Schizosaccharomyces pombe: one gene and its partner. The protein of the gene in region 1 purifies or fractionates together with the protein of each later gene. This does not show direct contact. Each region holds a gene or a part of one and is shown on either strand. Other genes may lie near its edges.

What was found.
Region 2: the proteins of ssp1 (region 1) and pho84 purify together in Schizosaccharomyces pombe (affinity purification with mass spectrometry, with the first as the bait; one study listed by BioGRID). This does not show direct contact.

Annotation. Positions count from the first base shown.
Region 1 is NC_003421.2:1,876,576-1,883,115, forward strand, and holds ssp1 (calcium/calmodulin-dependent (CaMKK) protein kinase Ssp1), read left to right. Parts: upstream 1-1,871; 5' UTR 1,872-2,138; coding exon 2,139-4,097; 3' UTR 4,098-4,740; coding exon of another isoform or gene 4,741-5,151; 3' UTR 5,152-5,464; coding exon of another isoform or gene 5,465-5,497; 3' UTR 5,498-5,735; downstream 5,736-6,540. Other genes in the region: aro2 (chorismate synthase), read left to right, coding at 1-911; histone lysine methyltransferase Set7, read right to left, coding at 4,741-5,151, 5,465-5,497; SPOM_SPCC297.05 (diacylglycerol-binding protein), read left to right, coding at 6,193-6,540. UniProt on the Schizosaccharomyces pombe protein: Involved in actin localization and thus in polarized cell growth.
Region 2 is NC_003423.3:4,442,115-4,446,978, forward strand, and holds pho84 (inorganic phosphate transporter), read left to right. Parts: upstream 1-1,986; 5' UTR 1,987-2,137; coding exon 2,138-3,856; 3' UTR 3,857-4,086; downstream 4,087-4,864. UniProt on the Schizosaccharomyces pombe protein: High-affinity transporter for external inorganic phosphate.

The DNA of each region.
Region 1 (6,540 bases):
ATTCCGATATGGACAACTACCCTCGTCCTTCTCACGCTGATTATACCTACTTGGAGAAATACGGTGTCAAGGCATCTTCGGGTGGTGGTCGATCCAGTGCCCGTGAAACCATTGGACGAGTCGCGGCTGGTGCAATTGCTGAAAAGTATCTCTTAGAAGCTTATGGTGTCGAAATCGTTGCCTTTGTTTCCAGTGTAGGCAAAATAGCCATTCCATTGCACGAAACCGCTTCTTCCGCCATATTGGACCCAGAGGATGATACATTTGAATCTCCTATAACCGCTGAATATCTGAAATTCCTCAATAAAATTACGAGAGAGGAAGTCGATAAAACCACTGTTCGTTGTCCTCATGCTGCGACGGCCGCCAAGATGGCTGAACGTATTACTCGAGCTCGTGATAACCACGATTCCATCGGTGGTACTGTAACCTGTGTGATCCGTAATGTTCCCACCGGTCTTGGTGAACCATGTTTTGACAAACTTGAGGCCAAGCTTGCTCATGCCATGATGAGTATTCCTGCCACCAAGTCTTTTGAAATTGGCTCAGGCCGTGAAGGCTGCAAAGTTGCTGGATCCAAGCATAACGATCTTTTTTACCGAAATGCTGATACTGGCAAGCTTGGTACCTTGACCAATAACAGTGGAGGTGTCCAAGGTGGTATTTCCAATGGCGAAAACGTTTACTTCACCATTGGCTTTAAGTCTCCTGCTACCATCGGCGTAGAACAGTCAACTAGCCGTTACGATGGTAGTGACGGTGTTCTTGCTGCCAAGGGTCGTCATGATCCCTGTGTTGTTCCCCGTGCCATTCCCATCGTTGAAGCCATGGCTGCTCTTGTCGTTATGGATGCTGTCATGATTCAACAAAGTCGTATTGCCTCTCGAAACCTACTCCCCAATGCTCAATAAATTAAAAAAAGTTAAAAATAAGCTAGTTTGGGGGCAAGAATCTCACTTCAATTGAGTTAGCCTACTGGATTATCTTATTTTGATGCGCCAAAAAGAGAGGATTAGATATACCTTTTGTCTCTTAGATTACATATGTACATTTTTTTTGGAGGGTAAATTTAACACAAATTAAGGCATATTTAACAGATACTTGTCAATATAGTGTGTAAGATTATAAATGAATATTTTTAAAAAAAGTAAAAAATTTAATACACAAGAAAAACTAAAGAAGTGTTGCAAAGAGTATAAGACCTTCTCTTCAACTAGCAATTGATGTTTGTTTGTATGCAGATTTTTTTCATGTTTATTACACAGACACCTGCGGTACACAATCTAAATTGGTGACCAAATATAGCTTTTGCCATTCTCTTTTAATCTTGCCATTGATTTTTCTCTCATCTAAGTATTCATACTTACACACTGTGTATGCAATTATGATATATTATACCGGCAGTTTGGTCATGTTGCAAAAAATTTTTTTTGCTAATGCCGTTTATCGGCACATCGTCTATGCTTGTAGATGAAGTAAAGGATTATTATTATGTAAAAAAAAAAATCTTTGGATTTATGGGTTTTACTATCAACGTTTCCATACTTGTGAGAAAAAGTGGTAGTTGTTTTAAAGTAATATTTTGAATAATCGAAATTTGTTATAGAATATTTCTGATGTTCCACACATTTTACGTACCAAAAAACCTCTGTAAGAAAATAGTATTCTATTATGAAGCCTTCTTCTCAGGCGTACTTCTCGTTAGTCCCACCTATGATGAAATAGCAACCATCCCGTCTACTATCTGGAAAAGGAGGATTACGTATAGTAGTGTAATACGGAATAGTGAAAGGTACTTCGCAAAAATGATCATTCCAAAAGTGCTCATCGTCATCCCTCACCAGGTGTCGTGCTACGGTATAGATGTACCTAACCTTTTCCAACCACCAGTATAACGTAGGCTTGATTTTAAACAAGATATTAATCAATTTTGGAGATTGAGGACTACTAAAAATCTACAAGTCTTAAAGAAGAAATAAATTTCAGAGTCATTTAGCTTGGTAGCTTTACGACTATAGCCCCGCCGAAATACGAGTTGCCTAGTCCCCGATAGAGGAAAAGCTCGATTAGTAAATCCGGTAATTCATGTACTTATTGACTATTGAAGCTATTTAAGAGGACTCGAGGAACACTTCCTGATGGGATCAGTGAATAATGAAGAAAAAACTTTAATTGAGCCACAACGTCTTTTACGGAAAAATACTTGGCATCCAGAGGTAGACGATAGCGAAGTTCCTCCTTCTGTCTTTCCTGAATATCCCGTCCACAAGGCCATCCAGAAAACGTCCGATTCATTTCGTAAACGGAACTACAGCGCGGGAGATTATGTAATAGCCCCGTTGGGCGGAGAACGTGAAGGAAGTTCGTTAACTCACTCATGGACTTTTCAACCTGGTAAGCATAACCAGCGTCTTTATTCTGATAATTTTCAAGAGGCTCAGCGCCAGTGGAAGCGCCTGCAAGAATGGGGCGAGGTGAAGGAAACAAAAAAGATAAGAAAGCGGTTTGATCGGTTTTCGGGTCGTAAATACATTAACCACTATGAGATTATAAAAGAACTAGGACGTGGTATGCACGGTAAAGTCAAGCTTGGCCGTGATACCGTTACCCGCGAACTGTTGGCGATCAAGATCATCCCGAAGACGGAACGTCGTCCGAAACTGGGCCGAGCCAATGCTTCCAGTCAAAAGGAAAAAGTTCGTCGCGAAATTGCCATCTTAAAGAAATGTGTCCATCCTAATGTCGTCCGCTTGCGCGAGGTCATTGACGATCCATCCTCAACGAAGGTGTATCTTGTTTTAGAGTACATGAGTGGTGGGGAAGTGCCATGGACAGATTGTGACTCCCCCGTACTCTCGATTAGCGAGGCAAGACAATACTTTCGCGATGTTGTCTTGGGTCTAGAGTATTTACATTACCAAGGCATTATTCATCGAGATATTAAACCCGCCAACCTTCTCCTTAACTCTTCTAATTGTGTCAAAATATCTGATTTTGGTGTTTCGTACATTGCCAACGCTGGCCTGAATGAAGACAACGACGTTGAGCTTGCAAAAACTGTCGGCACTCCTGCTTTTTTCGCCCCTGAATTGTGCTGGACCGATTTGGATCGCCCAAGGCCTAAGATTTCTGAAGCAATAGACGTATGGGCTTTAGGCGTTACTTTGTTTTGCCTTTTGTTTGGTCGTTGTCCATTTAATGCTAGCATGGAGTATGAGCTTTTTGACAAAATCGTCAATGAGCGTCTGAACATCCCTTCTACACCCGACATTGGTGAAGAGGGTCGAGATTTGCTTAAAAGATTATTATGCAAAGATCCTGAACAACGTATAACACTTGTAGAAGTAAAACTTCACCCATGGACATTGGATGGCTTGAAGGATCCTGAAAAATGGTTGCAAAACACTGATCCCAGTACCGTCAGTCGTGTTGAGGTTTCTACAGACGAAGTTGCTTCTGCAATCAGCCTTGTGGGTCGTCTTCGCAGAAAACTTGGTAAGCTGTTTCGTTTCCGCCGTCCAAAAGCGCGAGTGTTTGATTCTTCCTCCTCTGTTCCTTCCGACTCTTCCATTTGTCGGCCTGAGAGCTCTGGTAATTCTTCAATTGGTTTATCCGCGTCCGAGTTGTCCGATTCTTTTAATCGGCTTGCGGTGAATGAGTCTCAGAAGGATCGTGAAAGAAAGCAAGTACATCCTGTCGAAATGGGTCGTAATAGTTCTGAGAAAAAGCCTAGATGTGACTTTGGCTGGGACTATGAGGCATTTCCCAATGACAATCAAGATGCTGATGATGCTTGCAGCTATAATACCGGCGACTCTATTCCACAAGTCTCCAAATCCATTAACGGTCATTTCGAAACGTATAGTCGCACGTCGATGGATACGGATGATGTAGCCTCTTTCGAATCTCCAAATGCGAAGCATGAGGAAAGTGGAATGCCTGTCGTTACTTTTCGTAATTATGAGAATTATGATGCTAATCCGTCCAATTTTCATCCAGTGGTTCCTGGTTTTGTATCATCACCTAACCTTCATTTAGCCGGGGGCTCTGACACACCTATCTACTGCATTGAGCATTCCTTCACACCAACTAATTGAGTGCTGTATGAACATTTCCCAATTTTATTCAATTGTTTTTTTTTTGCAATGTAGGTTGCATGTGTCTTTTAATTACTCATTTCTTATTCTTGGCTTTTTACCTAGTGTTCAATAACACTTTGTCATTCGTTTTCATCAAATCATGTCATTCGGACCTTTTAGATTTTTATTTGTCCTATATGTTTGCCCCATCTCAAGAGAAGCCTTTTTTTTTCCTTTTTCTAAATAAGACGCTTAGGTTCCAAGTCTTTTGGAAAAAAGGTGACTTTATTGATGATTCTTGCGCATTCCACTCGTTTTACTCGTTTATTTTAAAATGTTTTATTATCTAATGTGCCTTTTGTTTACCTCGTATATCGTGATTTTTTTTCCTATGAGCAAAAAAAATTTACTGATTAGACGTTGAAACTGGTTTTTTTGATGAATTCTTCTTATTCCTGGCATAGGAAATAAATATCATTTTATTATTTTTTTATGACCTAGTTTGTAATTTCTTCTATGTGCTGTTGTGATACAAATCTATTGAATATAGGTGAAGTGGGGCAACTTTTGTATGGTGTGATTTAGAAGACAGACAGCAATATTGCTACCATTTGAGAAATTTTATCTTCTAAAGCCTACAAATTGGACGTATGAAGAATTTTTATAAACTAATATTTTGTAAGGGAAAATCTTCATTTTCCTCGTTTGGACTTATTCGTGAAGCAGATGATGCTTCGTCTTCGAACCACAGATGATCTCCGTATGAAATACAGAGTTCCTCATTTGTTTTTATCTCTCGTAATGTGTAATATGAGATGTAGTTATTGCGATTGTCTTTTTTCCAATACACGTTTGGATGACGGTCGTGATTGAACATACTTCCAAGTCCTAGAGCTAATCCTTGTTTGCCTTCGCTCCAAACATATGTGTATTCGTTAAGAACTGTATACTGTCCATGTTGTTCATATTCTTCTTTGCTGAACATCAATACAGGACTAATCTCAATGCATGTTTGTGCTGGAATAGGCTCAAGAGCAAATACTCCTCGGCCTTTTCGTTCTGTATCACGAATCTAAAGCGTTAGTAAACTTATAATTAGACACAATCGTTCAGTCTGTCGACTGATTTTACTAAAGAAAAGAAAAGAATGTGAAATGTTTTCTTTTATATAAATGATTATGAATCATGCTGTGAATCGTTGATCCGTAACATTACCCTTTCGATTATACAACAACAACAATCTTCGACATTTGCTTTTTCTACTGTCTGACTCAACTCATAGCAAAATTCACACAAATAAATATAAATGAATCGAAACACAAAAAAGTTAATTTAAAGTGACTTTTAACTTTCTTCTATCTTCTAGCTATCCTACAATACCTTACCTCAAGCGGACTACGAATAACAGGAATCCGCATTACAAAATCAATTTGACAACTGTCTTAATGATCGGTGTGCTTCACTTCTTACACCTTTTGTGAATTACTTAATTTTAGATGTTTCGTGTCTTTATAGATGAGCCAGGGAGTTGATTTCTTTGGGCTCACGTTTGATGTCTTTCTTTTTTCATATATTAAATTAGTAATTTCTAATAGAAATAAACCAAACAAGGAACTTATTTCACATATACGAATGGCAAAAATAGTTAGTAAGTTAATAGGAAAAAATTTATTTTTCCCAAATAAGGCAGCTATAAGACTCCTTAAACCTATTGTGGTGATACTTCGGGTCATGGTACGTTGCTATATTCACTTTAGTAGATAAAAGGTTATAGTGCGCTATGTTTTTCTATCGAACATTTTGCTGCATAAACAGTCGCAAGTTACCGTTTTCCATTTAGTGTATGGAGGATGCTTTTTGAGGTATTGGCGATCTGTAGTTAAATTGGCATTTGAACAGGTTGGAAAGTGCGTAGGAATAGTTATACTGTTAGCGTTGAAGTGCCCAATTCCTTACGAAAAAAGTTTCGCACGATTTATGTGGAATCGATTTGTGGCATATTTAGTAAGTTTATTCTTCAAAAATATAATATAAGCTACAAAACAAGTTATCTTTTCCTTAATTATTGCATATGCGATTGCGATCATTTACGATGCTTTAAGTTGCGAGTGGAATGGAAAGTATCGCAGATCATTTCTTTCTCGCAGGTCTCTCTAACGGATTTGTGAGTGTATCCAATTCTCAATTTCGAGCAGATAGACTTGATGAAGACGCCATATCTGTTTCTAGTTCTATCATCCAAAACAATACAAGGAAGTCGCCATTAAAAAGAGTGTCAATCACTTCTGAGTCTTCTTTTTATAAAGAAAATACCTTTGCGCATCACAACACCACTGGATCCAATTCTGTGGGTCCAAAGAAGCCGTTTTTAGATTATCATCACTCAACATCTAACACACCGACCAAGAAAAAAAAGGATTCATTTGACCATGCCTCCGTTACGTCCTTACATCGTCGTAGC
Region 2 (4,864 bases), on another chromosome or scaffold:
CAACTATGGTAGCAAGAGAGTAGTTACTTCACATTCCCATGAGAATAGAACAGTCCAAAATCCTTCTCACACATTCCTTTTCGCTTACACGAATTTCAATTTTTATTATTTATATTTTTTTTATCTTCGAACGATGTGAGTAAAATGCGTGTGAATTCGGCAATATACGACGCTGGAAATAAATTAGTAAACTGCCCTTGACTGATCACGATAGTTATATGGAAGAAATTGTTTCGACTATCCTAACTTAATTCCTATTATTTTCAGAAAAGGGTTTAATTTTTCCAATCTTCCAGTTCAGTTTGCATACCGAACGGTACACAATCTTACCCTGTCAAAAACCCCCTTTTTCAATTTAAAAAAATGACGTCACACACTGCATCAATAGCTATATAAGAAGCCTGAGTACCTAACTATTCAAATTTTTAATTTTAATTTAAACGCATTGGTAGTATGAAATAGAACGAAATAAGTCATAGAGGATGAGATAGAATTAATTCATAACAAATTAAACTATGAAAATCGTTAGAAATTGAAATTTATTAATATCGACATCTGTCCTTATAATAATTAATTAGTTTCCACGGTCTTTTCTTGAAAATTATTCTGCGTTTTGTCGAACTAGAATAATGCACGAAAGATTAACTCATCGTTGCTTTTAATTAGATAGCAAGAATGTAAAACAATGGAATTTGCTACTCGACACGAAAATTCAAAAATTTTCGAATACTATCAAATCATCTTATATCCATTACACTTGTTGAAGGGTGGCGGGCGGTAAAATCCTCGTATCCGTTCATCTTTTTGCTTCGGCAGTATATGCTGCCTAATAAATTTTAGCGTTCGGTAAACTGAGGTTCCTAAAATAAACTACGGTTTACGTGCATGAATGGAACATACTTGGAACCGAAATTGCTGAAGTGGCTGTTTTGTGCGGATGCCGGTTGTCAGGTCAATTCCGTGCAGAACATTCTGCTCGGTACCTGGTAGTTGTTAATTTCAAAGACCGACAATAGGAGAGGTGAGGGGAATTTTGTAGGATGGCGGCATTTCCGTTCGCCGAGTTTAATGGAAGTGGAAGCATGCATGCTTTGTTGATGTCTATTTTGTCAAAGAAATCTTATCACCCAACATCCTATCGGGTTGGAGGATATCGGAACCAACTTATCCGGGTGTTCTGTGTGTGGGCATGCATTGAGCTACACAGCATCAATCCGTGGTATTCTGGAATGTATACTTTTGAAACCGGCCGATTACTGGTTTTAAAACAACGACATCGCGTGCTTTCCATGGAATTGAAAAAACCAAACAGCTCGACGATTAAACCGTGTTTTACTTGGGCCAATTCTGTATTGTATAATGACATACTGATTTTTATTTTCGCAAATTTCATTTTGAATGCATACCGTATTGAGTTCTCTGCAGTATGAGTTTGTCTCTTAACTACAATTTTGTCTCAATTAGTAATGTCAACGTTATTAACTTAAGATTTCCGAGTGGGTCTAACGAGGGTATTACCACTTTTGCAACTTTTTTATGAACTGATACCCCTTTAGTATAATTGTCTGTTTTTGCAGTTGTCCGCTAGTGCTAATTCTTTTACTTTAAAGTGCAAATCTTAAACCAAATTGACCCATTACTTTCCCTCAGTTTTCTAACACCGCGTTACCTTAATCCTGAAATAGAAAATTTTAATTGTTAATATTTTTTTACTATTTTTTTATATTTCCTTATTGGATTCATATCAGTTACAAAGCAAATTGGACGGTTTACTTATAAACATAGTGTTTTGCATTTCCGATTTCTTCCTGTTTTGCTATTTTGTTTTGAAATAAGATTAAGCAGGTGGTGAATGTGCCGGTTGCCAGGGAACGTCAACACCAAAGCTTTTGATCTTAATTATTAATTTTTTTTCTATAACAAAGCCACCAATCTGACAAACTGGTAGTTTACTATATATATTGCTCCATTGCATACTGAATTATCTGTGTGTGTAAACCACCGGTACTCAGTTTTCTTAATTCTAATTGCAACCGCATTCGGACTTCATTAATTTGCATAAAGCAGCGATTAAGACTTACTTTATCATTCATTGCTTTCCTTTTCTCTCATATTTTGAACGCAAGGAAATCACAAGATGGCATTTGGGAGCAAAATTTTAAACATTGGATCTAAGTCTGATGAGTATAACGACGATGCAGTACCTCTCGACCAAGTCGAAGAGGGTGCGCAAGAGCGTCGCTATTACTTGGGGTTGACAAAGCGCGAATTTAAACTTATGATGCTTGCAGGTGTCGGGTTTTTCCTTGACAGTTACGATCTTTTTATCATCAATTTAGTTACTCCCATTTTTGAATATCTTTATTGGGGTGGTATTGAAAAAGGTCCCACAGGAAAAGGCCATTATCCCTCTGGTATTCGTGGTCTTGTAAATGCGTCAGCCAATATTGGTAACATTTTTGGACAACTGTTATTTGGTTTTATGGGTGATTTCTTTGGCCGTAAATTTGTCTACGGTAAAGAAATGGTTATTGTTATCATCGCTACTGTTCTGGTTATCGCTATGCCTAAAAGCATTCATTCTCCTCTTTCGAAAATGATGTGGGTTTTCTGTTGGCGTTGGTTGCTCGGTGTAGGTATTGGTGGTGATTATCCAATGTCTGCCGCTATCACTTCTGAGCGTAGTAAAATTAAACGACGTGGTACACTTATTTCTTTAATTTTTGCCTTCCAAGGTTTCGGAACTCTTGCTGGTGCCATTGTTACCATCATCCTTTTGGGTTGTTTCGAACATCCATTGAATCGGGAAGGTCATTATCATAAACTCGAAGGTGTCTGGCGTCTTCAATTTGGTCTTGCTTTGGTTCCTGCTATTGGTGTTCTTATTCCCCGTCTCATCATGAAAGAATCTAAATCATACGAGAATTCTAAAGCACTTAATAGTGCTGAAGGAAAAGATCCAAAGGCATTCTTCAATACCGATGATGAGGACAATATGAAGAAGTCATCTAGCCATGGTGACTCCGAGGTTGTCGAAGCTTCTGATCGTTATGCTAATCAAGCAGATGCTGCTGACGCTGAAGTTGATAACATTGAAAAACAATTTGCCGCAGTTACAACCCCTGAAAACAGCAGTGGATTTATCACTTACTTCAGACAATGGCGTCATTTTAAGCATCTTTTGGGTACATCTGTTTGTTGGTTTCTGTTGGATATTGCCTTTTACGGTGTCAATCTTAATCAATCTGTCATTCTCAAGAATATTGGCTTCAGTACTGGTACGAACGAATACCGCACATTGATGAAAAACGCAATTGGCAACTTGATTATCGCTGTTGCCGGCTATGTTCCTGGATACTGGTTCAACGTCTTCCTTGTTGAAATTCTTGGACGTAAATGGATTCAACTACAAGGCTTCGTGATTACTGGTTTGATGTTTGCAATTTTGGCAGGACGTTGGAACGAAATTTCCACTGGTGGTCGATTTGCTTGTTTTGTTATTGCCCAACTGTTTTCTAACTTTGGTCCCAACTCCACCACTTTTATTTATCCCGCTGAGGTTTTCCCTGCACGCGTACGTGGTACTGCTCATGGTGTTTCAGCTGCTTTGGGTAAATGTGGCGCTATTCTTGCATCACTTCTTTTTAACTTTTTGACCGGTGTTATTGGATATGGTAACGTTATGTGGATTTTCTGCGGATGCATGTGGGGTGGCATTCTTTTCACACTTTTGCTTCCTGAAACAAAGGGTCGTGATGCTGATGAAATTGATAGGTTGGAATTATTTTATGGCAAGGACGGCAAAGTTCAATGTGATAGCAAGTGGAAGAGCTGGTATTTTAATGGAATCTTTTAATTAAATCATAATGCCGCATACTTTGCTTTTTTTCTTGGTACATATAATTTTATAATACTTAAAACATGATTCCCTTCGTCTTTTGAAAAGTTTAATATACCTTGGTTACTGCTTCTGTTACCAGGTTTGGCCAAATATTTAGTTTTGTTCGTTTGCTTTAATAAAAGGGGACAGTTTTCGGTTAGTTTGTGTTTATTCAGCGATAATTAATAAAAATTTTAAAATTGACGAAATAACGCTCTCTATGCTTTTTCTCGCTATAGACTTTATTAGTATAACCTAGCTAACTAAGGTAGGCGTTGCTAAGGTAAAGCAGTCACGATTATTGTGACGTGCTAATTAGCAAAAAGGTATATATAGCATAGCCCCCCTAATGAACTATTCTTTTACAAAATTTGGGAATGTGAATTTACTCTACTTTGTGTTAAATTATTAATAGTCAAGGAAAACTAGGCATGCAAAAGAAAAGCCTTATGTTAAATTTTAAATGTTAAATTACAATTAGATTCATAGTTTGGCTTGCTATACCTTAGAAAGTTATTTTATAGAGCATGCGCGAATTTAAATTTATGGTACGAGTGTTTTCATTGATTAACTGTTTGTTGCTTTCTTTCTACTTATTATCTCCATTTGGATAAGAAAGCATAAGCATTCGTTTTATACAAATCAGAGTGACATATAGTCTACTTAAATTTACAATTGATTAGACTTTGATAAATGTAACTGAAAATTTTTGTTCATATCGAAGGTCAGCGTCTAAAATTTTTAGCATGTTGACTGAATTCTTTAAACCTTTTGAGTTAAACTGAAAGCTGATTAATTAAACAATTATATCTTGGTCTGGGGAACGGAAACCCAGTGATTTTGTGTATGACATTTTTTGTGATGTCTTGCGATATTCACAATTTAATGATATATGCTGATTATCTTGTCTTCTAAATTAAGATAAGTATAAAATAAAAATCGTTAAAAATCTTAATTTACTATACGTTGAAGCTTCTTAAAAAG